2 linked regions of the Styela clava genome follow. The protein of the gene in region 2 interacts with the protein of the main gene of each other region in a pairwise test. Links are inferred from orthologs where the notes say so. Each region holds a gene or a part of one and is shown on either strand. Other genes may lie near its edges.

Region 1 (17,178 bases), on a different chromosome or scaffold from region 2:
TCAATATTTGAATCGAATAGTAATTATTAGAATCGATTCAGAGCCAAATTTCGAATCGCCGCCATTTTGTTTCTTTCTTTCCACCAATGGTCGAGGTGAATTTCTCAATTTCGCAACGGAAATCTGACATATAAATGAAGTATTGGAGAAAGCGTGGTTTTGATTGTGTGTGAACGCTGTATTCTGAATGATATATTCTATGTTTTCAGTAATTTATGTGTCTGGAAGACCCAATACAATGAGAAATTTACATATACTTAGATATCTCCCAAGTATTCAAGAATGGGGGCCAAAAATAATTATTCGATTCGATTCTGAAATCATCAGATATTTGAAAATGCCCAGCCCTAGTCATAACCTTTTTTGACTTGTGGCATTTCCGGATGCTTTTAGCACTCGTGTTTGTCATTACAGTAGTATTTATAATGTTATTTTTATTGGTTGATTTCAAATATCATTAGGTCCCAACGATTAATGCTCAAGAGAGTGAAAACACCGTGTGAAATACCCTTGTCAAGCAATCAAACTGAGAAGAACAAGGGAGTTTTCTTGCAAAAGAAAAATCAGTTTTGTGGCAGCATGGTGTCCTCCCCCCCCCCCCCCCCCACCCCACCCACTGCTCTGCTTCCCCTAGTAGGTACCGATTGGGAACCCTAGGTCTAGTTCTTTTCTACTTTTGTAAAAAAAAAACACTCAATTTTTAATATGTTATGTCGGCTTTCAACGTTGTTTCGATATCTCTGTCGTATATAAACGGGCGCGTTCCCGTGTCTGTCTGTGTGTGCGGGGTGTGTGTTTGGGGGGGGGGGGCTATCTAATTTTATGTATAACATCACCTATAATTTACCAAATTATTTTGGATGTCAAGTATAGTGGGCCATCATTATAAAATATTGATTGTCGGGTGAGCTTGGAAGCCTCGGATAGGAATACGTTGGTAGCGTGGAGTAGTTTTCATATAGTTTTGTGACTGTGAGTTTAGATTGGTCATCATCGTCTCGGGTTCGGGGGGTTCTAAACCAGTGCTCGTCAACCGGGTGTATAGAAAACCCCAGGGCGTACCAAGTGTTATATGTTAATCACTGATATATATACCACATCAGGCCATTTTAAATGGATTTATAAACATTGGCACATATATAGCATGGCGCTTGTGTTTAGACTTCTACGAATGAAATTAAGGTAATTCCAGATTCCGTTTTTGTTTTCCATACAATTTATACTAAATCAATCAAAGTGCGTTCATATATAACGTTCGAAAGTTATAAAAACGCACAAGTATCCGTATGGATGGATGTTTGGATATTCTAATGCTGTTCTATGAAGATGCTGACATGCTCCAAATACAAAACTTACGAATGCTGCAGAATATTTTATTACTTTATATTTAGCAAATGATTGTCGAATTCATTTTTCTTTCCGTTGACTCATGGGTTGCCTATCCCTGACTCCCTGGAAAGAAATAATAAGTTTTGTAAATGTTTCTGTTGCTGATATATATATCATCGGTAAAGGTTTGTAATAAAATAACAAAACTAATAAAGTTTGAAATCTGTGCTTGGATTTTAAATGGACACGGAAACACACAAAAATTTGAAAGACAATGATAAACTTGTGGTAGAGTTTATGAACCAATTGTGTTGTAGAAAAGTGATTTGCATTCGGCTATGGATATTTTCGATGGCCTCGAAATGGTGTTTGGACAAATAGCAGAGGATAAGGGACGGAAGCCTCCTTTTGAAATGTGAAAAAGCATCTTTCTGTATCATACATAGTAGCCCAAAACGCTTTCTAGACCTTCAAACTCTTGAGTCGAAACCCTTGAAAACCCGCGTTTTTAGTTTCTTTAGCTGATATGGCCTAACTTGAGAATAAGAATTTCAGATTCCCCTTTTATCTTTGAAAATTCCTGGCTACAACCCTGACTGATGGTGTTTATAGAAATTGAGCCACTTGGTAATAATATTACAAATTTACCTTCAACGCATAACCACGTTGATGGATTGCAATGATGGCCGAATACACATTGACCGTTTTCCCGACATGCTGCATTAAATATAAATTAGAATTACATTAGAACTCAACCACAACAATAAGATAAATATCGGTAATGCAGAAAAATTAGTAATCGATAGTTTTAGCTGATCTGATATCAGTTGATTTTTAATTTGAATAAGAGTATGTCGTTTAGTAACTTCCTATAGTTTTATACAGATTGAAATTTTGTTATCAAGTTTAGTTTATCATTTTGCATAGAAGTAATCTTCATGCTAATATAAATAGATTTGATGTAGAACTTTGCTGTAATTTTTGTCAAATAATTTAGGGTTTTGGTAAATAAATAAATTTAAACTAACGTATTCCATAGATCTTTCCGTATGTGGCACCAAGTAACACACAGATTACAGCAACCAACAGCAGAATCGATGCAAGAAATATCTTCATTGTGACTTAGAACTGTTCAGCTAGTTTATCTTAAATTTAGACGAAACAAGTAAGTTAATACATAATATAAATAAAAGAATATAAACAGGACGGTAATGTTTCTTATTAGAGAATTTTATGCACAACATCTCGCCCAGTTGATATCAAATTTACTTAGAAACAAGAGAACGATGCTCAAATATATGGGCACGGAGTAGTACGGAAATAAAAAATACCCTTTTTTGAATATAGTCTTCTATCGAAAAATACAGTCTGATCCAGTAGTAAAAAAGAAAAGCGATTTTTTTCAATACGATACGAAGAAGAAAAACAACATGATAACAAAACGACCCAAATATCCACTCCGTGTCCAATAAGTCTTATATAGTTCAGTTACTGACTTTACTGTTACCTAAATTCCGGAGCAGAAGGAAATGAAATTCAGACAGTTTCTAATACCTCCGATTTGAGTTTTATTTTATGTCAAAAGAAGGGCGCGGTGTCTTAATCGTTGAAGTGTTAGAACTCAAATTATTGAAAATTTGCCATAGAAACAGACAAATTTTATTTAATAAATTAAAAAAATTCTAAAACTCTACGTTATGAAATTTTTATTTTATTTATGTTGATATAAGAAAAATGACATTGAATTAAGATTTCGGTTAAAAAAAATCAATAACATACTGTAATCAGTAATACACTGTCTAAGTAACCATGGAAATTACAGTGCGACGCGGTATCGCAATATTTCTTCCTATCCACCGAGCAAACTAATATTCCGTGCTCGATGTATCAAGAATTTATAGTCTCCTTTACTCGTTTGAATGGTTTCACTGGTTTTCACATGGTTTTTAATAAAACGAGAGAAATGTTGAAGAAACGATGGTTACATAAGTGATTCCCAACCTTTTTCGTTACAATCCTCCCTTCGCCTATTTTTATTCTTCTCTCACTTTATTAAACTACTTTATTTATTCAATCTTTAATGTAAACTTAGTAGTGTTATGCGCAAGTTGCATTACCGCGTTTGTACAACTTAAGTACAAGCAGTTGTATTACATCAAATACTATGAAAAAGTTCCTCCACGTTTGGAAAAGCTTGCTTTACATAAAGAAAATTTGGTACTCCTGAAGTATGCGCACCAAGACGTCGCATAACCTGAACCCTAACCTGGTACACAACCTGTGTTCAGGTTGTGCGCCATCTTGGTGCGCATACTTCAGGAGGTCCGAAAATTTATATTAGATATTGACACCTTTTGAATCTTATCATGTACATAACTGTACATCAATCAATTAATTTTATTTCGGTCGCTCTGGTATAAAACAAAACAACAACAAACGAACAAACACAAAAGTGACAAAACGTAGAGGACCTGGAGGACGGGCATAACTTAAAGACAAAGTTAAAAACGTGAAAATACGCGTCCGTCCTCATAAAAAACAGTCAAATAACAAAAGTAAATAAAACAAAAATACACTATACAGAATCGGGCAATAACTTTAAATAAATCGAATTAATTACGCAAACACTGATCAGAGGAAAAACAAGACAACACTCTATAAAAAATAGAAAAATTGATAGATTTTTTGTTGGCACGGTTGTGATGTGGTGCAATATTAGTGGGAATAAAAAATGTTACATAAAAATTTTGTTGCAACTATATCGAGAAATATTGATGCATTGCCAAAAACACAAATACGACTAAATTTAAGATTACAAGGTTTAAAAAAACTTGATATAGCATGCGAGTGAGCTTCTATAGCAATGTCACACGAAAGAATATTGCAAAAATAATGTGTAATTGTGATAAGAATGTGTAACATCATGATAAGAAGTTGAATTTTCTAACCATTACCACCGTCTACATTTATTCGACATTCCTATACATACACCATCACCGCAAGTTAATGTATTAGTCAAACACACGGATGTGTTTTAGATTTTGTTCTAAACACAAAACAATTCAATAAATTAACTTATTGTTCTCTGATAAAAACCATTTTATCTAGAAAGTTCGTTGCGAGAAAGCGGTGTGGTGTGGATAATAACTGCAAAATCATTGTTCACTATTTTTTTTCGTTTTAATCAAAGTCTTCTGAATCATTGTCTAGCTGGGTCCTAACCTTTTAAGGCTCGTGGCTCATTTGCGGATGCTTTTAGCACTCGTGCGTTTGTCATTACAGTAGTATTCATAGTTTAATTTTTATTGGTAGATTTCGAATCCCATTAGGTTCAAACTCAATTCATGCTCAACTAAGTGAAAACACCCTGTGAAATAAATAACCATGTCGAGCAATCGAACTAAGAACAAAGGAGAGTTTTATAGACTATTATATGTTGAAGCTTCAAGGATTCATATTTAGTGTAACGCCACACGCTAGCTTTTAAGTATTTTGAATATGTATGAAATAATGCTAAATACCTGAAACAATATCAGTCAAGCCTCTGTACCTTCTTCCAAAAGGAACGAAATTTCTCCCTGGGAAGGAAGTATTTCTTTAAACCACACTGCATGTTTATTTATTGTTTATTGAATGATTTCATCTACAATATGTCTCGCCTATCATTTGTGACGCAAGTACTGAATTTCAAAACACGAAAATATCAAATGTGTTTACTCGATAAAGAAATTGTCAATTTACTTTCAACTGTCAGGCACAGCTTGACTAAATATGAATCCCTAAAGCATCAACATAATTATGATAGAAACACATATTTTTTATGCACAGTTAGGAGCAGTGGCGTAGCAAGACTCTCGTGGGCCCCCCCGCAAAAATATTTCGTGGAAATAATCCTAAAAACTCTCGGATATAAGCTAAAACAACGTTTTTTTTTTCGTCGAAAAGCATAACATGTCGTTATTAAAAGGCAATGGTAACCTAAAATTTGCCGTTTATATTGGTTACTTTAATTTTTTTTTATACGTGCTTCCCCTTCTGCCCATTTCCTGCGTTTCTGTGAGCCACTGAGAGGTTTTGCTTTCGACATCATTCTGACAACCTTCGTAATTTTGGCGGTGCGATCAAACCCAAAGACGCCGAAAATCGACGACTCCCTGGCATTGCTACGTAACAAAACGATTTGAGCAGAACTAACACCAACGTTATAAGATGTGCCTTACTGGTTTTTCAATTCAACTTTTGGTTTTGCGGCTTTAATTTCTAAATTCTAACCGCGTGGGCCCTTTTGCGCTGTGGGCCTCGCGACCGCGGGGGTTGCGGGGGTGGATGCTACGCCACTGGTTAGGAGGGAATAAAAAGATCCAAAAGGTTCCAATATTTAATCTAAATTTTCTTTATGTAAAACAAGGTTTACCAAACGGGGAGAATTTTTTAATAGTATTTACTGTAGTACAACTGCTTGTACTTAAGCTGTACAAACACGGTAGTGCAACTTGCGCATAATACTATAAGGATACATTAAAAATTGAATGAAAAAAGTCGTTTGGTCCAGTAATTAGAGAGAAAAATTCTAACAACAACAAGTATATACAACAAAACGGTCTTCGTAGCCATTACAAAAGAAAACTGCCAACACATGTTTGGTTGGAAGGAGCGGGATATGTGATTTAGGAATATAATTTTGGACGGATTCTAATCTAATCATCGACCTCAAAAATATTGCTTTTTAACACCTTCTTTTTATCCAGGTATTGTTCCGAATAGTATTTTCCAGTTGAATGTCATGCTCCACATATCCGGGTTCAAGAAACTTGCAAATTTCATTCCGGATTTTATTCGAGTTCCGTCTTCCATTATGATGATGTCTGAAGCTTGATGGAAGCCATAACTTTATCCATGTTTATAATAAAGTGTGATACGTATTTGTTAATTGACGTATTTTTGAAGGTTTATTATTTTCGCTGAAAGTGATAAAAGAAAAACATATTAGGCAGCCAGAAACACCTGATTTTGTTCTTAACTAAAGGACCAATTGAGGGTGCAGTAAACATATAAGTGGAAGCAAGTACCCTAGTCCAAATGGGATATAAATCCCTTTTCTGCATTTTTATCGCAAGGATATACAAAATATGTATAGTTGTTGTATCGTAAGCAAATATCATAACAGCGCTATTTTAATTTATTTGATATTATAGACTCTGATCCAGCTTGAAAAAGAAATTAAAAATCTACGAAGAGTAAAACTCGAGACAGACATAACACATTCAAATTTGAGTGATTTCTTTGCAAAAGTAGAAAAGAAGGTGTAGGTGGGTGGAGTGGGTGGGTGGAGGCCACAGTGCTACCACAAAACTGATTTCCCTTTCACAAGAAAATAACCCGTTCTTTTCAGTTTGATTGCTTGATAATATTATTTCCCATGGTGTTTTCACTTTGTTGAGCTTGAATTATTTGAACCTAATGGGAATCGAAATCTACCATTAAAAATAACATTATAAATACTGTAATAACAAACGCACGAGTGCTAAAAGCACCCGGAAAGGAGCCACAAGTCAAAAAAGGTTATGATATGACTAGGGCTAGGCAATAAAATAAAAATAATTAGTACCCAATGATTTTGCAGTTATTATCCACACCTCATCGCTTTCTCGGAACGAACTTTCTAGCTAAAATGGTTTTAATCAGAGAACAATAGGTTTATTTATTGGATTGTTTTGTGTTTAGAACAAAATCGAAAACACATCCGTGTGTTTGACTAATACATGATCTTGCGGGGATGGTGTATGCATAGGAATGTCGAATAAATGTAGATGGTTGTAATGGTTAGAAAATTCAACTTCTTATCATGATGTCGCTGTTTGTGTTATTTTTATATGGACCGCAGCGGTCTGGAGTAATAAACGAATTGATTTATTGTTATTGAAAACATATTAAGATCTTATCTATTCAATTACGAGTTGTATATTTGTATTAGTACAAACTGTCTTGCTACTTTAATGAAAGTTATGAAGTTTAATCTCGGTTAGGTATCTTTAAGTTTTACATTCGTGGTAAATTTCAAGTAAACACATTTGATATATTCGTGTTTTGAAGTTTAGTGCATGCGTCACAAATGATCGGCATATTGTAGATGAAAGCCATGCAGTGTGGTTTAATTAAGCGACCTGGGTGTTATTGTATTATTATTTAAATCATTAAACTAAGCAACAAACTCACCTTCACAACGTGCTGACGCCCCCGTGCCCCACATGGGAAGGAGCCCGTTTATAAACGGCAGAGTTATCGAAACAAGATAAGATAAGTTTATTTTGACTCCATAATCAGCATAAAAGACGATTACCGGTAAATGATTTATAAAAACAAAAAAATAAAAACCGATTATGAAATCAGTAGAGCAAACAAAACCTTGGTTAAGTTTTAAAACGTACAGTACAACAAAGTTGAAAGCGGCTCAACAGCGGAGAAACATTTACTCCAACTTGAATAAATTGGGGTCATTATTTTGGTTGAAGTAAAATATGATATATCGTTTCGATTGTATTGAAAACGTTGTGTGAAAATAGTGAATTCAAATTCCTATGTGATACAAGTTGTTAATGGTGTTAAAGACTAGGCTAGGGAATCACACCGCAAAAATAAGTACGAGTATGGAGCTTTTTCAATAAAACAAGAGAGCTACGCCCAAATATATGGACACGTCTGTTCGCAGTACAGTACGGTTTACCGTACCGTCAGATCACAGTCTACAAATATATTCACACCAAGCGAAGCAGTACAGTAGGACACAAAATGGCGTCCGCAGAACGTTTAATGACGTCATAGCAAACAAAAACAAATCTCACAGAGCTAACAGAAATATTTAAAATGAATAAAAGTAATAGCCTTCTACCACTTTAAATTTCAAAGCAATTGGTCCAGTATTCAAAACGAAAAGCGATTTCTTCAAAACGTGTCAAAGAACAAGGACATTAAGAACAACAACAACATAATATTGAAACGATCGCTATGTCCACTACGTGTCCAATAAGTTCATTGCGATCAGGTAAGGAACAAAACATTCGATAAAGGTAGTTCCTACCTAATAGCGTGCGGTGATCAAATTTTTTTGCTGTTGTCGTTCTGTAATTTTCATTTCATAAGTTTGATGGACCACCACTAATATCGTTTTAGTCAAAATGGCACACGAGCAGAAAAAGGTCGAAAACTCATGCACTGGGGTTATATGAGAAGGCCGCCAGATGGCACGTGGGGTATTCCCCGAATGATCAAGCTTATAAAATTTTAAGATATGTGTACAATAAATGCTGAAATGATGGTATTTATACGTGTATAACTCCTGTGATTAGTGATGATGTAACTGTGCCGATCAACTGTGTTTTATATATTAATAAGAAATATTGTTACTATACATTGCATACAAAAAATTTAAGATGTATGCACAATAATTGATTATCTTATATGATGAATTATGATTGTGTACCGTATTTTCTATGATTAGTGAATAATAATGTTGTAGATGTACTGATCAACTGTGTTTTATATATTAATAAATATATATAGAAAAAAAACAGGCTTATAAAATTCCGAAAATATTGAGCACGTCATACTGTCATATCCCAAGAAGAAATATAGAGAAATTGAGAATAAAATTGGGGTTTAGTGTAGTTTCTTACCACAAGTACTTCTAGTGGTCGTGGTGACGTAATTTTTTGATGGCGTAGTCAGGTGAGGGTTAGGATTGACATGTGAAAAAATTGTTATGCTACGCCCGCTAGAAGTACTTTAGGTACGAAATTACACCAGACCTAAAAATTGTTATATAGAAAAAAACTTGACATGATATGTATCGTTGATAGCTAGGATACATATTCAGACATAGGTAGCGATGAACGTCAAAAACAATATCAGTAACACAATTTACTTGGATTATAATGCAACTACTCCATTAGAAGATGAAGTATTAGAGACAATTACAGATGCACTGAAAAATACATGGGGGAATCCCAGCAGTTCATATCCTGAAGGTGAGAAAATATAGAAGTACTGAAGTATGGTTTTAAAATTTTGAATGGCCTTGCAGCCTTGCGTTTCAAAACAACAGTCAGGAGGCTGGAGTTTATATCTTTACATATATTCATGTGAGGGCTCATTTAGTTTTGTACCTACAGACCTAAAGTACTTTCAGTGGGCGTAGCATGACAACCCCCTGACTATGCCATACAAAAATTATGTCACTACGACGTCACAATCATGTCATAGAACTTGCCAAAGTATACCTACGATCGACCGAAATGGCAACTGCGCTGACGATGAAGAACTCAGTAACAACAGTGATCTCGCTCGTATCGCTGCGACGAGAAAACAAGAGAATATCTTGCTCGATTTCGGGTGATCGTCTTCGCGTCTTGGATGACAGTTCGAATGGCCTTATCACGTCACTGTGACATAGTCGTTCGTTTCGGATGGCGCAGGCAGGTGGGGGTTAGGAACGACATATTCAAAAATTGTTATGCTACGCCCACTAGAAGTACTTTAGGTACGAAACTACACGAGCCCCTAATTGTGTCTAAGCTTTCTTGTTGTTCCTAATCATGCAGGTGAAAAAGCAAAAGCCACGATTACAACAGCAAGAAAACAAGTTGCAAGATCAATCAATGCACAATCATCAGATATAGTTTTTACATCTGGAGGGACAGAAGCTAACAATTGGGTCATTGCTACAGCAATTGAACATTTTGAAAGAACTCAAGTGAAATCTCAACACCAAGGAGAACACAGGCTCAAACCTCACATCGTCACGACAACCATTGAACATGATGCTGTGACATTACCACTGATCAATCTAAAAGACAAAGGAGAAATAGGTATTCTGCAAAATGGGTTTCATCCAATTTTTATCGAGTTATTTTACATTCATCATGTATGTCAGCTGTTCCCAAAAGGTGCGCTGCAAAAATTAACAGAATTGTGTTAAACATAACTGACACAGACAAAAAATTTGGGAATCGCTGATGTATTTCATCTGCCTCGGTATTTGTTATTCATGAATTATTCTTATTTGAATAGCTTCACAATATTTACTCTATATAATCTATATAAAAAACCACTGATACTTAGCATATTTCTGATTTAACTTCTGAACTTGGCAATTGTTAACAAATTTAGAAGTACTATTTGGGATTTAATGTTGGTTTTGTCTAGTTTGTTTCATTGTAGATAATCATAGTTGGCTCATTCAATGCAAATTTTCAAAAATTTTTACTATATGAATCACCGCAAATCAGAAGGTTGGAGTTGTTTAGATGGGATCTCTGTTAATTCTATACAACGAGTAATGCTATATAATTCTCGTTTGTATTTTACTCGAGTTGTTATGCCATCATGTTAAATACATATATAAAACTGTGGAAGTGATAAATTGTTACATATATCTTTTTTTCTTTTTTTTAATCTTTCACTTTTATAATTTTATAATTATAAATTGAAATATTGTTATTTATTTCAGATGTTACGTTTGTGCCTGTTGATAAAGAATGTAGATGTGTAACAGTTGATGATATTGTTAATGCAATTCTTCCCAACACTTGCCTAGTGACTATTATGATGGCCAATAATGAAACTGGAGTCATTATGGTGGGTCCTAATATATATAAATATATAGGGTGTCCATAGTGTCTTAATTTTTTTTTAAATTGCAAAGGGAACTTATTGAAACCATATATTGTTTTGGTCCTCACAGATGTATTGAATGAAGTAAAAATACTTAAAAACATTTACTGAATAAAAAAACAACAATATTCAGAATTGACTTCATAATTGAAATTTGACTTTATGGACATCGCGTTCATTCTTGCTCTGCCAACTATGATCTTGGGAAGAAATCTTCATTTATGGGATGATTGGTTCAAATCGTATCTTAATATTTTTAAATTATTATTGGTCTACATTTATACACAAATTAATTTTCTCTCCCACTGCAGTTTCAATTATGATTTATAAAAATTGTTAGCCCATAATAATAATCTAAAATTTAGACGGCAAAAACTTCATTTAATCTGTCTACTTACACTTACATTATAAATATTGTAAAATGTTCTCTACATTAAACTCATTGGTCAAAAAGAGGGATGAAATTGCAGTATCAGTCAGCTTTTGGATGTATCCCTGTGCTGTGTTTTTTTTCTCAAGCGGCGCTTATCCATGCCTTTCATCCGAACAAGACACCATAGCAGCCATCTATTTCTAAGGATATGCTACTATTATTTGCAAGGACCAGAATCTTTCTAGTTTGGCATTGCTTAACCAATTTATCAACTCCAGGGTGAGGTGGAGTGCATGAGGTTTGAACTCGAGATGTGTAATATGCGATGCCAACACAGTAAAGTCTAACGCTTCAACCGCTAAGCCATCTTTTTTTCTATTTTTCAAATTTACTAACTAAACACATCTACTACCTATGAGTTATCAAGGACTATGTTTTTATAATTTCTAGCCAATCAAAGAAATAAGTGAAAAAATTTCAGCTATGGAGTCAGAATCATTGAGACCATTAATACATACAGACGCTGCGCAAGCTCTCGGAAAAATATTAGTCGACGTAGAAGACTTGGGTGTTGATTATTTAACACTGGTTGGACATAAGGTAGATTTAATTATATTGTTGTGTTGTGAATGTTTACAGATTTAACTAAACCCTGAAAACGAATGATTTATGTCTAAACAGTTCAAAGAAGATCTTATATGGCCGTGCTTGATGACGACAGCCACATTTATGGTCACATTATGGTATTTCTCATTTTGCTTTAGTAAGGAAGATAAGAAAATTAGTTGAAGGGCAATAACAGGCTCTATTCTAAATGCTTAATTTTGATTAATAATTAATTTAAATATGAAACTTTTAATTTTATTAAACATGATCTCAGCATCACAACATATATTGTAATGGGGATCATTTTTTTTTAGTTTTATGGGCCAAGAATTGGTGCTTTGTATGTACGTGGACTTGGTGAGGGTGGAGCCCCATTATACCCACTGTTTTTCGGTGGAGCTCAAGAAAGAAATTATCGCCCCGGCACAGAGAACACTCCAATGATTGCCGGACTTGGTAAAGCAGCCATGATAGCAAATGATGATCTGAAATCTATTTCTGAACACATGAGAGAAATCAGAGATTATTTGGAAAAACGATTATTGGTATATTGTTTTTTTTTAGTTATCAATATAACTGTTCTGTAGATTGTTAAAAGAATAACACCATGTCTGTAAATTGTGATGTTTGGACTAGAAATTACATTTTTGAATAAAGTGGAACTATTGATGTCTTGTACTTTATTATAGCTCCAAGGAGCATATCTTAACTATTACCTAACCTGAGATGGACCGGTAGCCAGATGAATACCATTGGTCTCCTGTATGATTATACCATGTTTTATCAGCTTCCCTCCCCCTTCCCCCAAGATAAATAAAAAAATCCTACCTTCATTTATTAAAGGGCAAATAATATCACAACTGTATTTGTGATGTTGCATACTCATCAGTATTTATCCGACCTTTTACATAATTTGTATCAGTATTTTTTATTCATAGGCGTAGCATGAATCATGTATTAAACATGTTTCATTTTATTATACAAACTTTTTTTCAGGCAGAGTTTGGTGATAGTAAAGTGAAATTGAATTGCTCTTTAGCACCAAGATTACCTAACACATCCAGTGTTTCATTTATAGGACAAAATATGGAAGGTAGGTGAAGTTCTTAACAAAGGCTGAAAAAGCATCCCATTATAAATTACCAATATATCAGTATGACACGAAGTGTATATATGGGCCGATACTATTCATTCTAATTGATTCTTTATTTCAGGATATAAAGTACTTCAAAATATCAAAGGATTCGTCTGCAGTACTGGTTCAGCGTGTCATTCAAATGAATGTAAACCGTCACAAGTACTTTTGAATTTCCATGTTCCATTTGATATTGCAACTAACACAATTAGGTTATCCACAGGACGTAGCACAACAAAGGAAGACATTGACGCTGTCGTGAAGGAGCTCAAAGATGTAATCTCAAGTTTATCTGAAATTGCAATATAGTCACAATTATAGATTATGACAATGCATTTCAGACATGCTGTCAGAAGCTATTGTGGTGGTCATGGCAGTTTATTGGACTTTTTGGTTTTGGACCATTTTTGGGTGGTTATCGTTGTTTTTTAAAAATTGCTTTTCTTCCAAATAATGGATGATTTGTTTAAATTTTTAGTACATAAAATGGAAAGAGTCGTCAGAAGGATATGATTTTTATTTTTTGTATAATTTCTCTGAAAATTATGGGCCCTATAGATTTTCTAATTGCTGCTTTGTATAATTAAGGGTGCACATTCATGGTGGATACAGTTCCTTTTGGCTTTCATTAAATTATTTTGCATTTGGCTGAAAATGTGCGTTCACTGTGGTGGCCATGTGTGTTTTATCATTGCTGTCTTGTCCGATTGGGTGTTCAGAAGATTTTCATGTGAATGCTGTAGTTGGGACAAACCTTTAAAGTTTGCATTTCATAGTAAATGGACCGTTTTGTTAAAAGTTCAAGAATTTTCATTACTTTTCAAATTCAAGTGAATGGTGCTTTAGAAATTTCGTGCAATGAATTTAAATGAATGCTCTTTGGTGAAAAGTTCATTCTTCCTATAACAGGAACAAAATCACAAGTTTTATTTTTATTAAGTGCAATATAGATTGTAATAAATATATATTACAATACCATAATAGAATTGTGTATAGCCATGCATTGGACGTGAATCTTCTACATACAGTTGTCGAGTCTGTGAATGTAACGTGATTAGGTTCTAGCAGACTTATGTTTAGTCAGTACCGGTATTGCTGTGAAAAGAAAGTTCTCATTTGAGTGAAATTAGGATTTTCACATTCATCCCAAGGAAGATGAAAGTTAATGAGGCTGTTTAATTATACTGTCCGGTTATCAGTTTGTTCGGTTTAGTCGTTTTTTGAGATACCTGGACTTGATGCCCAAGTGTTTTTGGACCACCTAGGTATCTACAAAACGCTGGATGCTGCTGCATAGAGCAAAGATAGCGGTTTATAGGCACTTTTCACAGCGATAATTTTATGGCCGTTTAGAGATTTCATTTTATAAATGCCTTTTTATATCAAAGCGCGTGAGAAACGATGTGCTGCAAAAGTATAATATGATGCTCGATTGGAACTTTTGAATGGCGCTGTATGCCGCATTCTCAACTAGACCTAATTAATAGACGAGTTGATCTGATGAGCGGCGGAATAGAACCAATTGTCAGCTATGACTTCAGCAAAGATAGTTCAACTAGTTTGCCAACGCGGCGCCCAATGCCATGTTGGAAAGAAAAAATGTAACTGTGGTGCGATTCAGGTTTGAGCGAATCCGTTCTTGTAAAGTCGTCATAATCATCGAGCCCGTTTTTATATTGTCGTCATAATTAGCGAGCCCGTTCTTGTAATGTCGTCATAATCAGCGAGTTCGTTCCTATAGGGTCGTCATACTAGCGAACTCGTTCTTGTAATGTCGTCATTATTAGCGAGCTCGTTCCTAAAATGTCGTCAACCAGTTCACTATATATCCTTCGGTACAGAAATTATATATTCATCTTCTTGAATCTAGTCAAAATGGAGTACGGAACTTATTTAGTAAATATATATATTATATTTCTGAATATTGTGAACAAATGTTGCCTTCTTCCTTTCACGCACGTTACAATGTGTGACGTTATTGAAAGACTCGTTGTGTGAAATTTGAATTTTCAGATCGATTAGATTTGACGCTAAAATGCAAATTTGCCAAAAATTAGATTTCGAAGAAAACAATTACTGCGCGATGATAAACGTATCATGCTTGAATATGTTATATACATCAAGTCAATGTAAGCCCATGCTTGGTTTTAAATAGCCTTTCAACCCCCAAAGCACGGTAATTTGCGAATGAGACGGCGCGACAAGTGAAAAAATTATATGGTTAAATTCGATTAAAACTGCATATAGACAATTTTAATAGCCTTCCATACGCCATTATGTCAATTAAAAATGTTTCTCCCAATTTAAACGAATAAGGTTTAGCCACAAAAAGGTACGCATGGTTTACCTTACCAAGATTATTAAATATTTCTACCAGGTCAAGTTCATATTTTCGACAGAGGTCACATTTTGATCGTAAAAATGGGTACTCCTGTAGTATGTGTACCAGGTTAGGGTTAGGCCATAATTTTATTGCGCTTTTCTCTATTTTAGTTTTATTACGAGTTCGGGGACGGTCTGTGTTAGCCAAGTGAATATCACTCAGCCCATAGGCCCAAATTGGAACACATACTTCTGGAGTGCCGGAAAATGTTTATGAATATATATTTTACCTTTTTTTTAATTGTACGTAATTTGTCACCTAAATGTGTCCCACTGACAAAATCAAGTATTTTGTGTCAAAATCTATCATTTCTGAAATTTGTTTCCAATGCGAACAAAAGCTGGCAATTTTAGGTTTTCGTAACTTTTAGAATAAATGATTCGAGTAAACTGAAAGCGTGAAAAGTCGAAAACTCATTATTTCCCGTTTAAAATAGGTGCAATTGACAAAATAGTTATATTCACTTGGCTAAAACAAACAGTCCCCGAACTCGTAATAGAACTAAAATAAGGAAAATCAGAATAAAATTATGGCTTAACTCAAACCTGGTACACATACCACGGGAGTACCCAAAGTTTTAATACAATGAAAATATTCTAACTCGAAAAAATGGCATCGGTGGAAAATAAACAGTCAAATCAGATCGTATTAAAATGTGAAAATCCACAGACAAAACCACATTAAACATTAAATGCAATTACTCGCGGCATGGAATTTCAAAGGCAATTCAACAAAAAATAGCTTTGCGTTTACCGACGAATGACGTGCGAAAATATCTGCCTAGTCATTGTTTATGATTACATTCAAAAGCGAATAGCAAATCTTTCCTGAAATAATGAGAAAAATTTGAGGTCATTGGACACATATTTAACTTTAATTTAAATATTTCTATAATATTAGCAACACCCGCCAATGCCCTGGTATTTCAGTTTCAAATCATTCCTGAAATAATGAGCAAAATTTAAGGTCATGGGACATGTACTGCACTTGATTTTAATCTCTTTATATAATATTAAAAAGTCACGGCCCGAGCTAATTCAGTTTTAATATTATATTGAATATGTGTTATCACGAAATCTTAGTCACAGACACTTATGCTGTGCCAACATGGAAATTTCACATAACGGTGCCAATGGTTATTTTCAGAATATTATTGTTCATGATGTCATCTCATTATGACGCAACATTGAAACAATAGGTTGAAGGAGCCGTGACCGGAACGGACGTTCACGACTTTGTATGAAAAATTAAAGCCAGGAATAGATGGCTAAATTTAGATTTAGTAGTAAATTTTGTAACACTTGAAGACGCCAAGAAACTTTCCCATTCGATATATTTTCACCGTGTTAAAATTTGACAACCTGTCACACAAACATACGGAAACTATCCTCCCATAATAGTTTGGTAGGTAGGTATACATGTGAATTTTGAAACATATATTGTACAAAAAAATCGCGTTTCCCCAAAAATAAGACAGTGTCTTATTTCCAAATTTTCTTTATTTGAAATAGGGCTTTTTTGGGGTATGTCTTTTATTTTCATTTATGAAAAACGAAATTACAAAGTAGGGAATTACGATATTTCATTTATACAAAACAGGAAAACGGATTTCCATTAACTTCTTGCTATCGACTAGGTTTTATTTTATGAGAAATGGCTTGTATTAAAATTGTTTTTAAAATT
Region 2 (17,175 bases):
TCTCATAGAATTATCAAAAAGACCAGACTAAAAAAAAACAGCTGTGGATTGACTGATATTGGACATCACTTAACAATGTATGTTGGAGTTAGCAAGGCTACAGATTACCTTAATCCTATTTATAGCAGAATTTCTTTTTTATATTCGCCTAATCAAGCGTGCATAAGAATTAATAATCCATACTAGGAGATCTACAATATTTTTGAAGGCTGCTCAAAGGAAAATTGTTAGTCCAAACGTCATTGCCTTGAGTTATCAGTAGGGATGGCCAAAATCAAATATTTCACTATCTCGAATACATTCTGAAAAAAATATTTTCGAATGCGGAATATCGAATACATTCTAATTGGGGGCATGTTCATGTGAAAAATTCCTAAAACAATAAATCTTCATGTTGATCACATCTAAAATGAGACAAATATGAAATATAATGAATTTGATTCGTTCTGGACATCTTTGGGTGAACCACAGTTACCATAGGTAGTAGGTTAGGAATTTTATGAGTCACTCAATATAAATAACTTCAATGGGGGCAACGGTTTATACACTATTTTGGGAGTCGTCCTTATATTATCCATTTAATATCATTAGCCCAACTTTGGCCCAGTTGAAGTAATCTATCTCGGGTAATGTAAATAAACGTCAAGGAAGTGAAAAAGGCTTGGAATTATATACGGCCAGATATAAATAGAAGATTATTCAAGTTGGGAATGGTTTATTTATATATTAGAAGAGAGTACAAAACCTATCCATCACATAACTTATTATCTAAGTGGTGATAGCAATCCTAATAAAATAATGTTTTCTGAAGAATCTGATCATTGACAGGAGGAAGGTAACATAAATATAGGGTGTCCATAAAGTCTCGAATTTATCAATACCTCATATTGTCACAGTCTCACAGATGTATTGAATGAAGTGAAAATACTTGAACGATTACTGATTAAAAAACAACATACCTGGTTAAGATATATTGTGAACTGACTTCATAACAAAGTTGAAATTTTAAAGGGACTTTATGGACACCCTTTATGATTGTGTTAGTGTGCAGCAATAAATACTCTTGCACCACACAGAATAGTCCTTTTCTATAATTCAGCATTTTTCAATAATTGTAAAACATGACAACTATAAAAAGCAAACAAAGCAAATTTTTCTTGACATTAGAAATAGATTTAAATTTATCCTGTGACAGACATGGGCCGCAAATAAACACTACATAATATATGTACTTCATCAGTATACCAAGATTGATCTAAATTTTAAAAAAATTGATGTTTGAATCCTGTCCTTATCCAAAAAACATGACATGATTGGAAAGCAAATAACATTTCATGTTTTACAAGTTTGTATAAATGGAATAGAACAGACCAAAGTGGGCCGGACGGTGGTAACTAATTTTAGCACTTTGATCTGAAGGTCATCAAAAAGTTCAAAGTCAAATTCAACGAGATTCTAACAAAATATATTATTTAAACAACACTTTTACGCCTTTCATTTTAAACAAGGTTTAGTACAAACAGTTACTGCTGAGCTAGGACCTGCTATGGTTAATGGCAGAATTTTTTTTCGTTCTGCATTGCTTGGCCAATTTATTACACCATGAGTGGACATTTTTCCGAATGTAATGCCAATACAACACAGTTCAATGTCTTGACCATGGCGCCGAATAATCGAACTCAAACCTTTTCACAAAGTTTCTAAGCAATATATTTGCAGTAAATTTTTTTAGGATCACACACACATTAATTAATTTTATATAATTATAGTCAAATTTGTGGTGCTAGTATCTCCATTGATAATTTTGTCAAACTAGAATACTGGTTAGAAACCGAAGACGTATCGATCTAAGGTTAGGGGATCCCGCAAAACAGTGGTCTTACTCCATAGTGACACCGTGTGTCCCATCACTAATTACTTAATGACTCGCTAATTATAAGACATAATCCATCCAAAATCAATAGGCTTCTGATCCGAGCTATGATGAATGCACATGCAAAATTTGGAGCGGATTCAACCTCGCTTTTGTGAGATATCGCGTGCATCTAACACACAGACAAACAGACAGACAAATACCTATCAACATACTTACCGATCTTAAGATCGATAAGTAATTAGTACTAATTACAGGATAGAATGACCCATCATTTTACACTGCCATTGCAATCAAAATTAACTATAGTGACACAAATGAAAATGAATTCCTAACATCTCTAGCGATTTTAAATGCTTGTGGCCTACCTGAAAGCGTTGTAGCTCAGCAATGGGCCATGTCCCACATTTTCCGGGGGCCACAAATCTATTAAAAATGCGAGAGATATTGATAATTTTGATTTGTGTCACTATAGGTAGGTCTAGAAGCAGAGATGTCCAGAACCAAATAATTTATTATTGGGAATAAATTTTAAAATAGCATTTTTAAATAAGAAATATCAAATATACTGTAAATTGACTAAATGGTCCTGTTTACATGGCACACAGTAAGCAGATGGGAGCTTACAGCCAACATATGGATAGATAGAACCTCATAAAAATTATTTGGGAAACTACAAGTTGAGTTTCAATTTTAATATAAATATAAAGTACTTATAAATTGCAGTGAAAAAATTTATTGAAAGAAATGAAGCAAGGAGAATAGTATAATATAAGAGAAACAAAGTCAGAAATAGCAGAATGGCAGGATAAATAAAAATAATACCGTAAAGAAATTTATAACTGAAAATTCATTCCCAAAATCAAGCATATAATCATATATAACCAGCTCAAATGCTGAGGAGAGATCCTTCATATAATACTCTATAGAGCAGGGGTGGGCAATATACGGCCCGCGGGCCGGGTCCTCCTGCGCCAAGATTTTGACCGGCCCCCTGTCTGAACTTCAGTACATTATAATATTACATTATTACACTTTTAGTACACAATGATAAATTCATTATTGGTTTTTTGGTCTCTATTTTTTGTAAAGTTTAAACCTTACTTTAAACGCGATTTATAATTTTCTTTCTTGCATTAGCGAATAAATATATGTGATTAAGATATTGAATACTATTCATGTTATAATCCAGCCCGCCGAGGACTTCATTTTCCCACATCTGGACCGCCGACTAGAGAAGTTGCCCACCCCTGCTGTAGAGCAATGGTTTTCAACCATGATTCAATGGAAATCATATAGCTATTAGGTTTGGCACTATTATTAATTAAACTTGCTACACTTTAAAAGTCATTTTATTTTCCCAGTATTAGTCTTACTTCAATTAGTTATTCATATTGCCTTACAACGAATTCATATGCAGAAATTGTAAGTTGCAAGTACCAAAAAGGTTGAAAACCACCGTTCTATGAAGTGGAGAGAGAATAGGAAATAAAGACGAAAGCAGGAACAAAACAAACAGGAATAGCATATAGCAAAAGAAAAATTATAAAAGGAAAAATAAATCCAATCAAAAGGGTGTCCATATTTAAATAAATCATAAGTCAAGAAACAGTGAAATGCTAGTTGCTTTAAACATTTTTGTTAACATTATTTACAACATCCAATTTTCCTTTTTAAATTATTCATGATACAATTAATTAAGGTAACATATGGTAGAGAAGGATGAGCCTTATTTTAGTCAATAACTCATTACATGTCACATAAATGTTATAAATACCTTCCCAGGGGAGATAGAGATAATAAAGTCTTATGTGCTATACTGGTACTGTCTGGTGGTACTCGTAGAATCTTATTACTTACTGAAAAAACGAAATACAGCAAATAGACAACAACTTGAAACTGAGGAAAAGGGCGCCAAACAGAGTTAATGATGTTTCCTTCATTTTATGTTGTTTTCCTCTATTTCACATAAATGTTACAAAAATATTCTTAGGAGCGCCCTTTCATGACCAGTGATAGGAAATATTTAATTTTCATTGATTTAACTCAACAATCCACTCAAAGTGGCAAGTTCTATCTACACACTGCATAGTAGAAGTTCACAAATTTGAAACCGTGAGTGACCGACACCAAATTTCTAGTATTCGGAAATTATTTTTTTCCAATATGCAATAGAAACATATAGTAGTCTGTGTATATTCGACAAGTTTGAATTTGGAAATGCAGGATAGGTAAGATAAACAATGATTTGATTTTTTATGGTATTCAGAGATTTTATAATTTTCTTAAAGTCAATAATTTTAAATTGAATAAACCTAAACCTGTATAGATTCAAGTATTAGGCTCATTTTTTGGCCCTCAGGCTTTGAAACTTTGTATACTAACACAACCAAAGAATGCTCACAAGCCACAGCCAAACAAAACCTCAAATACCATAAACAGTTTCTGCGAATAAATCTTTTGTCTCGTTTAGCCTGCTATAGCGTAAGCACAATGGCAACTAAAATTTCATGGGTGGGGTGTCGGGTATTAAAATCAGATCAAGTTTCTGCGGAGTTTTGAACCTGTAGTCTCTAACATGTAACTTTAGGATCTAACTTCTACCAGATTTAGTATCTCTTATATTTTCAGAGATAGCCAAAATCAAATATATTTTTTTAAGAACATCAAAATTCTAAATTTGGTAATGTCACCATAGAATTAGCAGAAATCATTATAAATCAAAGAAATTGAATTGGCAATGCAGAATTCTGGATTTGTTTTGCAATCCTTACCATTACATGAATAAATATCACAGCTAACAATGGCACAAAAGAACAAGTGTACTAACCAATATAAAATATAAAAAAAAAGTAAGAGTTCTAATGAAGACTACCAGGCCATGATACAAGTTTTATCGAAACACAGTTAACAGATTTCAAAATATTTAGGACTTGTAGATAAGGGATATCTTTCACAAGTCTTTTATTGATTGCAACAATCTCATCCCCGCATTTCAGGAATTTATTCGCGCTTGAATTTTTGGAAATATGCGTAATAAAAATCGGGGATGGCCCATGTTCTTCTGTAAATCCTCCCGTGATTTTAAATCCGTAATTTGTAGAAGAAGGTTTCCGTAAAACCACCTCGCGTATCGATGAAAACTCATGTGTAGCAGCGAGCCACATTTTCCAAGATGGAGCCCATTTACTTGGATTTTGATGTAGAGAAGTCAGTTCATCCCATAAAGCTGTGTCTTCAGCTTTCCCTTCATATTCTAATTCGTAAGCAACGAGAGTAACTTCTCTTTGCTGAGCTGATTCCCGTAATGCGTTCATTGCTTGAGTGTGAGAGAGACCAGTTAAACGTATCGAGTTTATTTCTGAAAGGAGGTCGCCACGACGTATTCGCTTGTCTTTACCTAATACTGACATGGAAAGAACATCTTGAACAAATATTGGTAGATTTCCACGAGGGCTCCCATTTCCTCCTGAAACAATGATTCCTAAATTTTCCTTTGGTGATTTTGTGACAGAAATTATTTTTTTCGTGTGGGATGATTTTGACAACTTCTTTTGCTGCGGCGAATACGGATTCGTGGATTTTGACATTGAAGTAGATGCATCATTTGAAGCACTTTTCTGCCTTTGTATTATTGAATCATGAGCCCATTCGTTACAGACTATAGTAGGTTTAACCAGCGGATGGCGAACTAGTATTTTTACTTCTTTATCGCAACTTCCGATAACTCTAGCAGCTTGTTCTGGTGTACTATCACCGACTTCGGTGTTCCCAATTTTCATTATTCTGTCTCCGACTTGAAGACGACCGTCCGATTCCGCAACTTGACCCGGGATTAGTTCAATGATATAAACACCTTTCGCTCCGGTTTCACTAGAAGATATACGAATCCCGAGCTGCTCAAGCGGAGGTTTGATGAGGCCAACACATTCCTCATAATATGCAGAAGAGCTTGGTTTTCTGACTAAAGAAGCAACGCTGTCACTGGGGTCCTCATTGTCCACATCTCGTAACAACATAAACCTCATTAAATTAGACGGCTTCGTAAGCGCAGCACGAGCTTCAGCATGCATTACTGAAAACATTGGTTCTCCATTTATCTCCATTATAATGTCACCAACATGAATACGACCATCTTGAAACGCTAAACTCTGCGGTAAAATATCTTGAACAATAATATAATGCAACGGCGTATCACTACCACCGACTATAAGCAATCCAAGCTCAGCTGTACCTTCTGGTCGAAACAATTCAACGACAACTTCTTCCGAAAAAGGGTGCAAATCTGAAAGCTTATCATTGTTATCCTTGAAAGCACAAATTTTCAAATGCGCTTCGATACCAGCTCTTGGACCTTTATGATCACAGCCATACATCGATTTAGGGCACCGTGAAACGGCCCCTGGGCATATTTCCTTTAAATGGCCCTTAAGGTCACAGCGCTGTATTTTTTTATCACAATATTCCTCATGCGGACAGGTAACTGTTAATTTGTTAACTAGTTTTCGTAGAATTAGACTTGACTGCCAACAGTCTGTTGCTGTGTTGGTTAATTCTTCTCTATCTACTGGACAAATGTGTTTCACTCTTAAATAATTTTTGATGCAAATAGAACAGAACGTGTGTCCGCATTTTGTATCGTAGGGATCAACCAGTGGTTGCAGACAAATATCACACATCAGGTCTTCATCAACTTCGTCGACGTAATTATATTCATGATTTTCCGTAACACCGTGATTCTGCCCACAGCATTTGCATAACGGTGGTGATTTAGGTACAGGTGATGTGCTTTTGTGAGTCGTTTCGTTTACATTGTTCTCGACACTAGATGTCCTCATTTCAGTACTAGGTTCGTTTTCAACTGGTGAATTCCCACGAGACGAGTGCGATGAATAGGACGACTCTCTATCACTAGATGGTGTTTGACGTCCTTGACGAGACGATCGATTTGTATCAGAAATTTGCGTACGCTGTCCAGATGTTTCTGGAAGCTCCACAAATTGTCCTCCTCTATCGTTACGTGGTTGATTGGTTGTGACATGCTGGATAGTAGCGTTTGAATAATCGATTGTAGTATAACGTTCCCCTTCGACAGAAACATACTCCGGTTGAGACGAACTTAAATTTGTGTTCAAAAATTCAGTATTTCCCCATCGTTCAAGTTCAGAGCAATAACTAAGTCCTGTGTCATCGTAACTATACGATTCATTTCTTGAAATTGTTTGGTATCCGAGATTATCAATTCCACTACTAGGGCATCGAGGAGACGAATCTGAGTGATAGCTTTCTTTTTCGATGTTCGATCGTGTTTTACGATGCTTTTGTTTTGAGATCGAATTTTCTGAGGTCGGCCGTCCGACAGCGACGAACCCTATATCCCCAGTCCCACTTTTAACAGCCACTACATCTCTATTAATTTGATTTCTATTTTTCGTCAAAGTACTGGAGGATTCGATCTCACCCCCCTCTTCTTGATTATGAACGCCCACGCTGCTATCTGAGCTGAAGTCTATAAGATCGTTCTGTCCTGGCAAGCAATCAGGAGCTTGATAAGAGTATTCCATAATACGATTACTGAATAATAATATATAACTTGAAAAAAATAAACAGCCCAGTTGGAACTAATTTTAGAAAGATGTGAAAAAGACAAATGTTTATACGTTTATTTTTCTATCTTACAACCAAGAATTAAATTCCTTGTGTACAATCCAAATTATAGAAACATGAAAATAAATATCAGAATTCTTATCCATGGTTAGATATAAAAAGATGAAAGACATTGGTGAAATAATATACCATAAATACAAAACACAACTAAAAAAAAATAAAAATTTTAAACTGAAAAATCGTGGGACTGGCATAAATTGTATCTAGTTCAGGAGGGGCTTGATAAGTCACAGTAACGTCGTAGTGATGACACAAGCCAATTAGAAGTACATGTGGTACTAAACTACACCAGACCCCATAAGCAGCCATTCCAGATAACATTATTTATAGGGGTACCGGTATCGCGCAATCGCGGTACCGGTATCTAAGTAAACAATGTAAATCCATAGATACCGGTAACTTCAAGTGTTCCTCGTCATTAAAGGAAATAATAGTCTGCTCTACACTGCATAATACACACCATCAATATGTACTCATTCTAGAAATATAATTAGTAGTTACATAAATCTGCCGGGTCTACTGATTCGAAGGTTGAAGTCAAATATGAAAAAGAAAACTTAACTAAGGCGGTTGAACCATGTTGAACTAAAAGGCGAACTTGTGAGTCGTACGTGGGAGGAGGTAATTTCTCGGTGACTCACACACGACCTCTTGAGGCCTAATTCAAGTCATCAACCAAACCACGCCTCTCACAATACTCCTATCAAAAATAATCTTTCCACTGCGGAAAAAAAACAGCCGATGACTTGCTAAATTTTATTAATTATATTTATAAGATGTCGACTTCGTATACGGTTATGGCCGCAAACCACAAGATTTGCACCTGTACATACAATGTAGAAAATCAACGGTGGGAAGACGGACGTGCGCACTATCTGAAACCTGAAATAACATCAGAATTCCCCTTCCCTGTTTTCACTATAATATATTTCATTGTATTAGTTTTATTCCAATAAAGTTAATTTTCAATAAAATGTAATTCGAAAACTGTTCTTTGTTTTCAGTCCCGACTAGAACCCTGAAGACAAAACTTGTTTATATAGGTATTTAAAATACATTTTTTCAAAATCAACAAAATTTTTCGAAAAGCTCTGAAAAGATTTGAAAACAATTAGCAATAATGAAAGTAATGCTTCCAAGGGATTGAACGAAATTAAAAATAAATTCAAAAAGCAGACAAACACGATGAATGTTTTTCCAAGCATCGATTTCGTGCATAAAGAAATCGTTTAGGACAGAATATAAATATACAAGAGATGAGAAAGTTGACTTGAGGCCTTTTGCCCAGCTACCAGTTCCTGTCGGGTATAGAATTAGTAAGCCAGTTATTTGTTTTCAGATGTGTGGACTTGATGATAGAAAAAGCCGTAACCGACCAGCGTTACATGAACGAAATTCGCACAAAAAAAAACTCGAGTGTCGGGTCCCTATAGGGGTGTAGCCAGAATTACAAAAAAAAATGATGGGGGGGGGGGCGGGGAGAATGATGATGAGGTAGGTTCCAAAATGGGAATTCAAAAATTCCCGTGCAATAACTTCTAAATCGAGTGCCGTGATTACTCCAGTCTTTAAAATAGACATTTTTTCAGCGAATAATTATCGCCTTTGCGTTGACTTACGGTAAAACAAAGGGAGGACTACTCTAAAAAACTATGAAAATTTGTGGACATGTAATACGCGATACACTATACCCGGTTATGAATAGATGGATTCGAATTTTTGCAACCTTGGGATGTGTCAACTTTGAATTATTCTCTTTCAGCGCTGACTGCTACTCAAAATTATTTTTGAAATATCGCCGTTGGAAAAACCCAAGCGTCTGCGTTAAAATCCCGAACGGGCAAAGTATTTAATCCATGATTGCCACACCATATTAATAAATTTATAATGTTTGCCACTGCCGAATTGATCGATTTTATAAATGGGAGTGAACAGTACTTTTATGAAAAATATATTGCCAAGCTGAAAAATTTTCAACGGTAGCCAAACAAATTGTGCGATTTACGCGGATCTCTTAAAACAAAACTCATTGTGTTTCCCTTCGTTTTATTTACCCTTTATCATCTTTAGCATCACATCGCTGATGAATACACTATAACAACTCATTTTTTACAGTTTACTCAAAATTCCGTGCGAAAAAGCAATCATCATCTTGCTCTTGGAACAACAACAATTTGTGATTTAGGAGAATAAATACCAACGTAAAATTGTTTTTATAAAAATTATAGTTTTGGTTTATCCAATTTGGCAATGGATTTGAATTTGGCAAAAAAAAAAAAAAAAAACGTAAAGGTGTTTACGGCCTACGCCCCACTGATAAAAACAATCGGTGATTTTAACAAAATGCAATCGCACGGTGACTTTTTCAGCCTTCTGAGAATTTTGTGGGGGTCATATATAGGATTGGCCATATGTAACCGTCGATAATAACCACTATTCTTATGTAAAACCATATAAGTTCCTCGTGTCACTTTATGTTTGAACGTGTTTTTTTGTGATGACAAAATAAACGATTGATTGATTGATTGACTTATTCCGTGTTGGATAGTGTGAAATATTGTATAATACGTAATTATTATATATGCATAATACTGTACCATCGAAACAAATTACATTTCAAATCGAAACGCGTGAATTACAGTATCGTAATCATCCGTACCTTGGTAAGTGTATTACTATCGTTACCCAGTCGCAATCTCATGTATTTACACTTCATATAGCGTTTAATCCGTGTATAGCCGCACTTCATTTTAGTCAGAAGTTCAGAACGTCGTGTAGCAAAGATAGTAATCAATTCTCCCAGGTCTGCTATGGTAATTGTTCAACGCCAAGAACTTGAAAAGTACCGTCGCTAATTCGTGACGTATGTTAGGACGTAATGGCGCGCGTCATCAAAATTGCACCATCGTTACATCAGAATGACATCATAGGCTTGCACAAATAAGGCGATATAGAAAGACAATGAAGACATCGGCAGCATATACAGATATATAAGTGGCGATGATACTCATACATTTATGTTACGGTAAGTTACAGAGTTTCTGTTATTCTCAGTTACAGAGTTACTGTTATTTTGTTTGTGTGGTTGTTCTTGTAGAAAATCGGAAACCTTTTGTGAAAGTTGTGGGAAATTGAGACAGTAAATGACATGCACCTTAAACTTTGCTTTGCCTATGGTTACGGTACTGGATTAACATTCAGCAATCTTATTGACTTTCCAGTTCACTCTACGCTGAGATAAATATGAAAATCCTATGTTTGCCTTTCAACTTAACATCTATCCTTTTTTCTATATTGGTATTTCAGTATTTAAATACGGAATACAGGAATAAAGATATGGTCAACTCAATTTTAAATGGGAATGTCTTAGGCATGCCTAATATGAAAGCAATATGCCAGGAAAAGGCAAAATTCACAGAACTTTCTGAAGTTCCTGCAGATACAAGAATACTATCAGTAGAGGAAACTGGCAATAGTTGTGAATTTGGATCGGCAAAATATTATGCCATCTGTGGCTTCGGAGGGATTCTAAGTTGTGGTCTAACTCATACTGCCATGGTTCCTCTTGATTTGGTGAAATGCAGAATACAAGTTGAGCCAGATAAATACAGGGGGATTATCAGCGGTTTTAGAGTCTCTATACAAGAAGAAGGCATTCGAGGCCTAGGTAAAGGATGGGCACCTACTTTTATCGGTTATTCAATGCAAGGACTTGGCAAATTTGGATTTTATGAAGTTTTTAAGAATTTTTATGGGAATTTATTGGGTGAAGAAAAATCATATTTATGGAGAACAAGTTTATATTTGGCGGCAAGTGCTTCTGCTGAATTTTTTGCCGATATAGCTTTGGCACCGATGGAAGCTTGTAAAGTACGAATTCAAACTCAGCCAGGATTTGCAAATACTTTACGTGAAGCTTTTCCTAAAATGTGGAAAGAAGAGGGTATTACTGCCTTTTACAAAGGTTTACCTCCACTTTGGATGAGGCAAATTCCATATACCATGATCAAATTCTCTTGTTTTGAGAGAACAGTAGAGGCAATGTACAAGTATGTTGTGCCAAAACCGAGAGATGAATGCAGCAAGCCAGAGCAGCTGGTTGTTACGTTTGTCGCTGGTTACATCGCAGGTGTACTCTGCGCTATTGGGTCCCATCCTCCTGACTCGGTTGTGTCTGTACTTAATAATGACGCTGGTAGCTCTCCACTTGATGCTCTTAAAAAATTAGGGCCAGTCGGAATTTGGAAAGGTCTCACAGCTCGTATTATCATGATTGGTACTGTCACTGCCCTTCAGTGGTTTATTTATGATTCAGTGAAAGTTTATTTCCGTTTACCTCGCCCGCCACCACCAGAAATGCCAGACAGTCTGCGAATAAAACTGGCTGCTCAAGGGAAACTATGATTCAGTGTGTTTTTAATAGTTCGATTCCCACAAGCCAGATAAAAATTTGAACTTTATTTTGAGTATGTATTGAGTGATACTGATTGCCAGTGGGGCCCAATTGATGAATTTCCTTACTTTTGGTGAGATTTATTCTCTTCACGTTTAACCGAGCATTTTTTTTTTTATTAATGTAAAAACAATACATGACTTATTGCACTAAATCATGGTTAGTATCCTAATCAACTCTCTTTATGGTTATATATTCATATTTTCAGTAATGAATTTTTATTATAATCTAGGTGTTTGTATTACTATAATCGTGTATCAATATTTGTGTACTATCATTATTTTTTATGATTTCTGCCTCATCTTATCAACTGATAAAACTTGTATTCTTATCTGCACTTTTTTGAGTTTCATTTCCACAAAATAGCTAATGAACAGCATACTTTGTACCTCTCTAGTTACAGGCAACATAGATTTTATGCAATGTTATGGGCTTATGGCATCCCTTATATTTTTCTCTAGAATAATGCCTTCGTTTTCCATTTTTGAATAATCGGGATAGTAAGCTTGTTGAATATTTTCCAGTATGAATATTTCACAGTAAATAAAATATTTTTTAGTCTCTTCAGAGTCACCATAAAGCTTGGTAACATACCTACGCCGCGAATATCGGAGCCAGGGGCATTGCCAGGAGTTTTGAGGGGGGTTCTGAGATTTCTAATTTCTCAGTTGGATCGTATCAGCTAGGGTGCTGTGTATGTACTAGTGTGCATGCGATGTATGATACCGAAAAATTTTTTTTTACATTTCAATAAGGGGGAATTGACGCTTGACCCCCTTGAATTTGCCATTGATCTGAGTCATATTGTGGCCTGGAAAGTTTGTTCAAAATTTTAGTTCGTGATTGTTAGTTGGCTGTTCTCCACGTGCCGCACAAGGCTTCTTGTAGGCTGCTTTGGCACGCAGGTTGCACACCCCTGGTATAATAAGTAATACGGTATGTTTTTTATGAAAATCATCTTTTTCTCTCAGAACTTTAGAGATGAGATAAGAGCAGTGCTCATTTATCTCATTTGGAATGGTACACCCTGCCCATCTAACATTTTTATTAAATAAAAACTCAATGTTTAGAAGGTGTGTTTATATTGATGCAATAATTTATTATTCAGTTAATGTGGATGTTGCTCTTGGATTCCACAATTCATTTGTGCAGAGCGAGGTAATAACCTCGTTTCCAGTGCTCCACACATTAGGAGTATCTACATAGTACACCCTGTGATGTACTACTAACTATACCAGGGGTCGCGACCCCAAATTGGGTCGAAGTGATAGGTAGGGTCGCAACCAGGTCATGGGGTCGCTGAGGTATGGTAGAGGATGGATGTACAACTCATCTAAGATTTGACAAACCATGTTAAATTTAGCAGTTTGTACCATGGCTTAATGTAAAACAGGCCTATAGGCATCGCTCTATGCTTTCGTTATTGAAAATGTAGGTGTTTATTATGACATCACTGTTTGGTTTTAGCTTATTTTACTTAATACCACCACATAACCAAACTCAAAAGTCCAGTGAAAGAAGCTCTAAAGTTTCGTGAAAAATATATATATTGACCTGGGGTCGCACTGGACACTTGAAAGTTGTCTTTGGGGTCGTCCTGAAAAAAGCTTGGGAACCCCTGTACTATACACTCGGTTGACAAGCACTGGATCAGAGATTAGTTTGGTGTGTGTTCCCCTATTTCGCCTCAGGCTCTGCAAAATCTCATTAGTTCAAACCTTGACAATTGCACTTATATTTACCTATTTCATTTATTCTTATTCAGATGAAATTTAGCTTTAAATGCTTAGTAGCAATGAGTAGAGTATCTTATAATGAAATATACAAATACAGTCCGCCTTCATGGTGCAAACATCTGGAAAAATGTCCAACACATAGAGCCGCACTGGCGTTAACACCGACACCCATACATGCTTGGAAAGTTCCGGGACTACCTGAGGACGTTAAATTATTTGTGAAGAGAGATGATATGACTGGAGCTGCTTTGAGTGGAAATAAAGTAAGAAAACTGGAATTTTTACTGGCAGATGCGATTCAAAAAGGATGTGGCTCTGTTATCACATGTGGGGCATTACAATCGAACCATTGTCGTGCAACTGCGGTTGCTGCGTCTCAACTTGGACTAGAAACGCATCTGTTGCTACGATCAGAGGAAGATGTTGACGCAATAAAAAGCAGTGGGAATTTATTTTTATCTCAAATGTGCAATGCGAATGTATATTTAGTACCGAAACGTGCTAAATACGAGACAGAGTTAAAACCAAGACAAGAGGCTTTAGCTGAAGCTATTTTAAAGAAAACTGGAAAGCCCGCGTATCCAATCTGTGTTGGGGGCTCGGATAGTGTGGGTTTACATGGCTACCTCAATGCATGGAACGAATTGTTAGATCAAAAAGTGCAAGATAATTTTGACGATGTTATTGTTACTTGTGGCAGCGGAGGGACAATCGCAGGCATTTCGATCGGTAACTATCTCACTGGGGGGAAACTTAAAATTCATGCAGTGGCCGTTTGTGACGACGCTGCCTATTTTCATGGCCATATTAATTCTATGCTTGAAGAAATTGGATTGAGCAGTGAGACCTGCTCGGAAGACATTGTTGATATTATCGAAGGTTATAAAGGAGCCGGGTATGGAATATCAACTCCTGAAGACCACGAGTTGTATCGTAAATTGGCTGCAGCCACTGGAATATTTTGTGACCCTGTCTATAGTGGGAAAGGCATTAAAGGGTTAATTTCAGAGCTGAATATAAATCGAAAGCGTTTCAAGGGAGATAGATTTTTGTTTGTACATACTGGTGGTATATTTGGACTGTATGATGAAAGAATGTTTGATTTTTTTGAGAAAGATGTTAATAGAATATATGATTGGAAAGATATTGAGAAGTCGGCAAATGGATTTCTAGAAAGTTAATTATGTCTCTATAATTGTACAACTAATTGAAATGTGCAATTTATTTTTATAAATTTCGATGATTGGTGCAGAATGCTAAGTGTCACGAGAGTGCTTGCCATTATACCACTAATGACTGATTACCCTGCTTTGTTCCATAGATACGTAACAGTTAGCTTGTGAGTAGCCAACATTGAATGTCATAAGATCAATACCCAAAATTTTTGTGCCCACAACTTATAGAAAGCCTGCCCACGATTTCACCTAGTTATTTGTATCTGGACCTCCTGTATTGAAGGTTGCACATCCCTGATTTACACACCTTCCACCAGCCAAGTTCATGCCTTCAGATATATAATTTGGTTTTGTATTCACTATTACGGCTGAGCTTCTGTATCAGCTTACCAGTAGCCGACGAATTGATTTCTACAAAGTTAATTATGTTGCCAAAATTGTGTATTATGTACTTAAATGAGATATGCAATTTATTTTTAGAAATCTAATAATAATTACCGTATTTCCCGGCGAATAAGTCTACGGGGTGAATAAGACGAGGCCTGTTTTTGAGCCTGAAAAAATGGCTTCTCGCATATAACCTGATAATAAGACGAGTAGTAAAATCGCATCAACATCAGAGTCTCAAATTACCATGCAGAGACTTTTGAGCGATCGCCGCCTTTGCGCATTGGTTAAAATAGCCTATGATGATTTTTTCTTGTAGAGTAATATTCAATCCATAACAACTACGAGAATTCAAACTGTCTTTCAATCTAATTGTGTTCAACCTAATTCGTGATTGAGCGCACCATATAAGAACATTACCGATCTAAAACAACACGGCAATGATGAAAACGTGGGGATGCTATCGTCCAACGTATTTGGTATTTTATGGTACGAATTGAATGATGGGACGACCCCCCACCAAAATCATGCCAAAAATTTGGGTCTAGAAAAGCGACTTATTCGCTGGGAAATACGGTATGTGTTGATTCCACCAGCCTTGCTCTGCAATTCTAAAAATGTGATTGTTTGATTCCCCGCCAAAGTTTCTTGGATTTAACCACCGGTCCGTTACTGGGTCCTCTTCAATGAGTCCATGAACTACCGCTAACATAGGCCCATCTAGAGCTAAGTTCTGAAGCCCGACCCAAAATTCGGGCTGAGTCTGGCCTGAAATATCAATCATTATGTTCGGGTTGGGCTTCTCTATCGCTGACTTTTTCTAAAATAAATATATGTTTATAAAAAATATATACTAAAACTATGTGTGGAATTCGAAGAACTCTTAATAAATAAAATATGAAATTTCGGGCTCGGGCCTCCAAATCCAGTCAATTGGTCGGGTCGGGGTTAATACCCAAGTGGAATTTTTGGGCCCATCTTACCTCTAGGCCCATCCCAACATTTTTGCAAAGCCTGATGTCTATTTTTGTGGATGACATTCCTAGAGACTAGTTTTATATCAATAGTAACCGTTTGGCGTTTACCAATATACTAAACATTTATTCATAAATTAAATCTAATGAATTGCAATTTTTTCTCAAAATGTATTTATCAACGAATTTATTTTGTTTGTTGTTAGCCTTAATAAATTCCTCTAATTTTGAATTATTTAGTATTTTTCTATATAGTTAGCGGTTCATATAGGATTGGTTTGTAGATGGACAGTGAGTCTGGGGTTGAAATACGTGATCCATCCAGTGGTGGGATTCAGCCGGTTCTCTAGAACCGTCTCACGGAATTTTATGAGATCAGCGAACCGGTTAGCATTACTGGTTACTGTCAATGCCTTTTTGTAACAGAACAGGGTGAAAATTATGACTTTTGCGATGGAACCGGCTGACAAAAAAATTGAATTCCATCACTGGACCCCCCCCCCTCAAATGTGAAATATGACTAAAAAAAAAAAAACGTTTTAAAACAACAAATTGCAGTTTGGGATCGGGCCAGGTTGGGAATAATTTGAAAATTCAAATTTCCAGCGAAATCTGCATTCCCAACCAAACCCTAACCGGCTTCGTACAAGAGATCCGAAATAGAATTCGGTCAGCTATAACTAACTGCGGTTTGAGTGAAGCTCTGCAAAAGGTCACAACGTCATGATAACCCTGCGCTGGTGCGAGCGCACAAGTGTCCTCTCTTCCGTCTTGTCAAGTTTCGCCGGGCAATTAATTGCGTAATAGTTGTCTCTGGGGAACATGGCTACTGCAATTGTTAAGTGACCAACAATATGTTTTCAGGAGAATCAAAAATTGGAATATTCGACAATTTCTCTTTGAAGTTATT

The links.
Region 1: the proteins of ligand of Numb protein X 2-like (region 2) and selenocysteine lyase-like interact in binary tests that used the Homo sapiens proteins (3 or more experiments, as listed by UniProt). The link is inferred for Styela clava from reciprocal best matches to the Homo sapiens genes LNX2 and SCLY.

The regions. Positions count from the first base shown.
Region 1 is NC_135264.1:13,435,295-13,452,472, reverse strand, and holds selenocysteine lyase-like, read left to right. Parts: upstream 1-8,351; 5' UTR 8,352-8,371; intron 8,372-9,202; 5' UTR 9,203-9,214; coding exon 9,215-9,353; intron 9,354-9,926; coding exon 9,927-10,193; intron 10,194-10,834; coding exon 10,835-10,962; intron 10,963-11,821; coding exon 11,822-11,971; intron 11,972-12,291; coding exon 12,292-12,522; intron 12,523-12,973; coding exon 12,974-13,070; intron 13,071-13,191; coding exon 13,192-13,421; 3' UTR 13,422-14,098; downstream 14,099-17,178. UniProt on the Homo sapiens protein: Catalyzes the decomposition of L-selenocysteine to L-alanine and elemental selenium.
Region 2 is NC_135258.1:3,215,292-3,232,466, reverse strand, and holds the start of ligand of Numb protein X 2-like, read right to left. Parts: upstream 7,886-17,175; 5' UTR 7,438-7,885; coding exon 4,735-7,437; 3' UTR 1-4,734. Other genes in the region: uncharacterized protein LOC144411634, read left to right, coding at 13,759-14,910.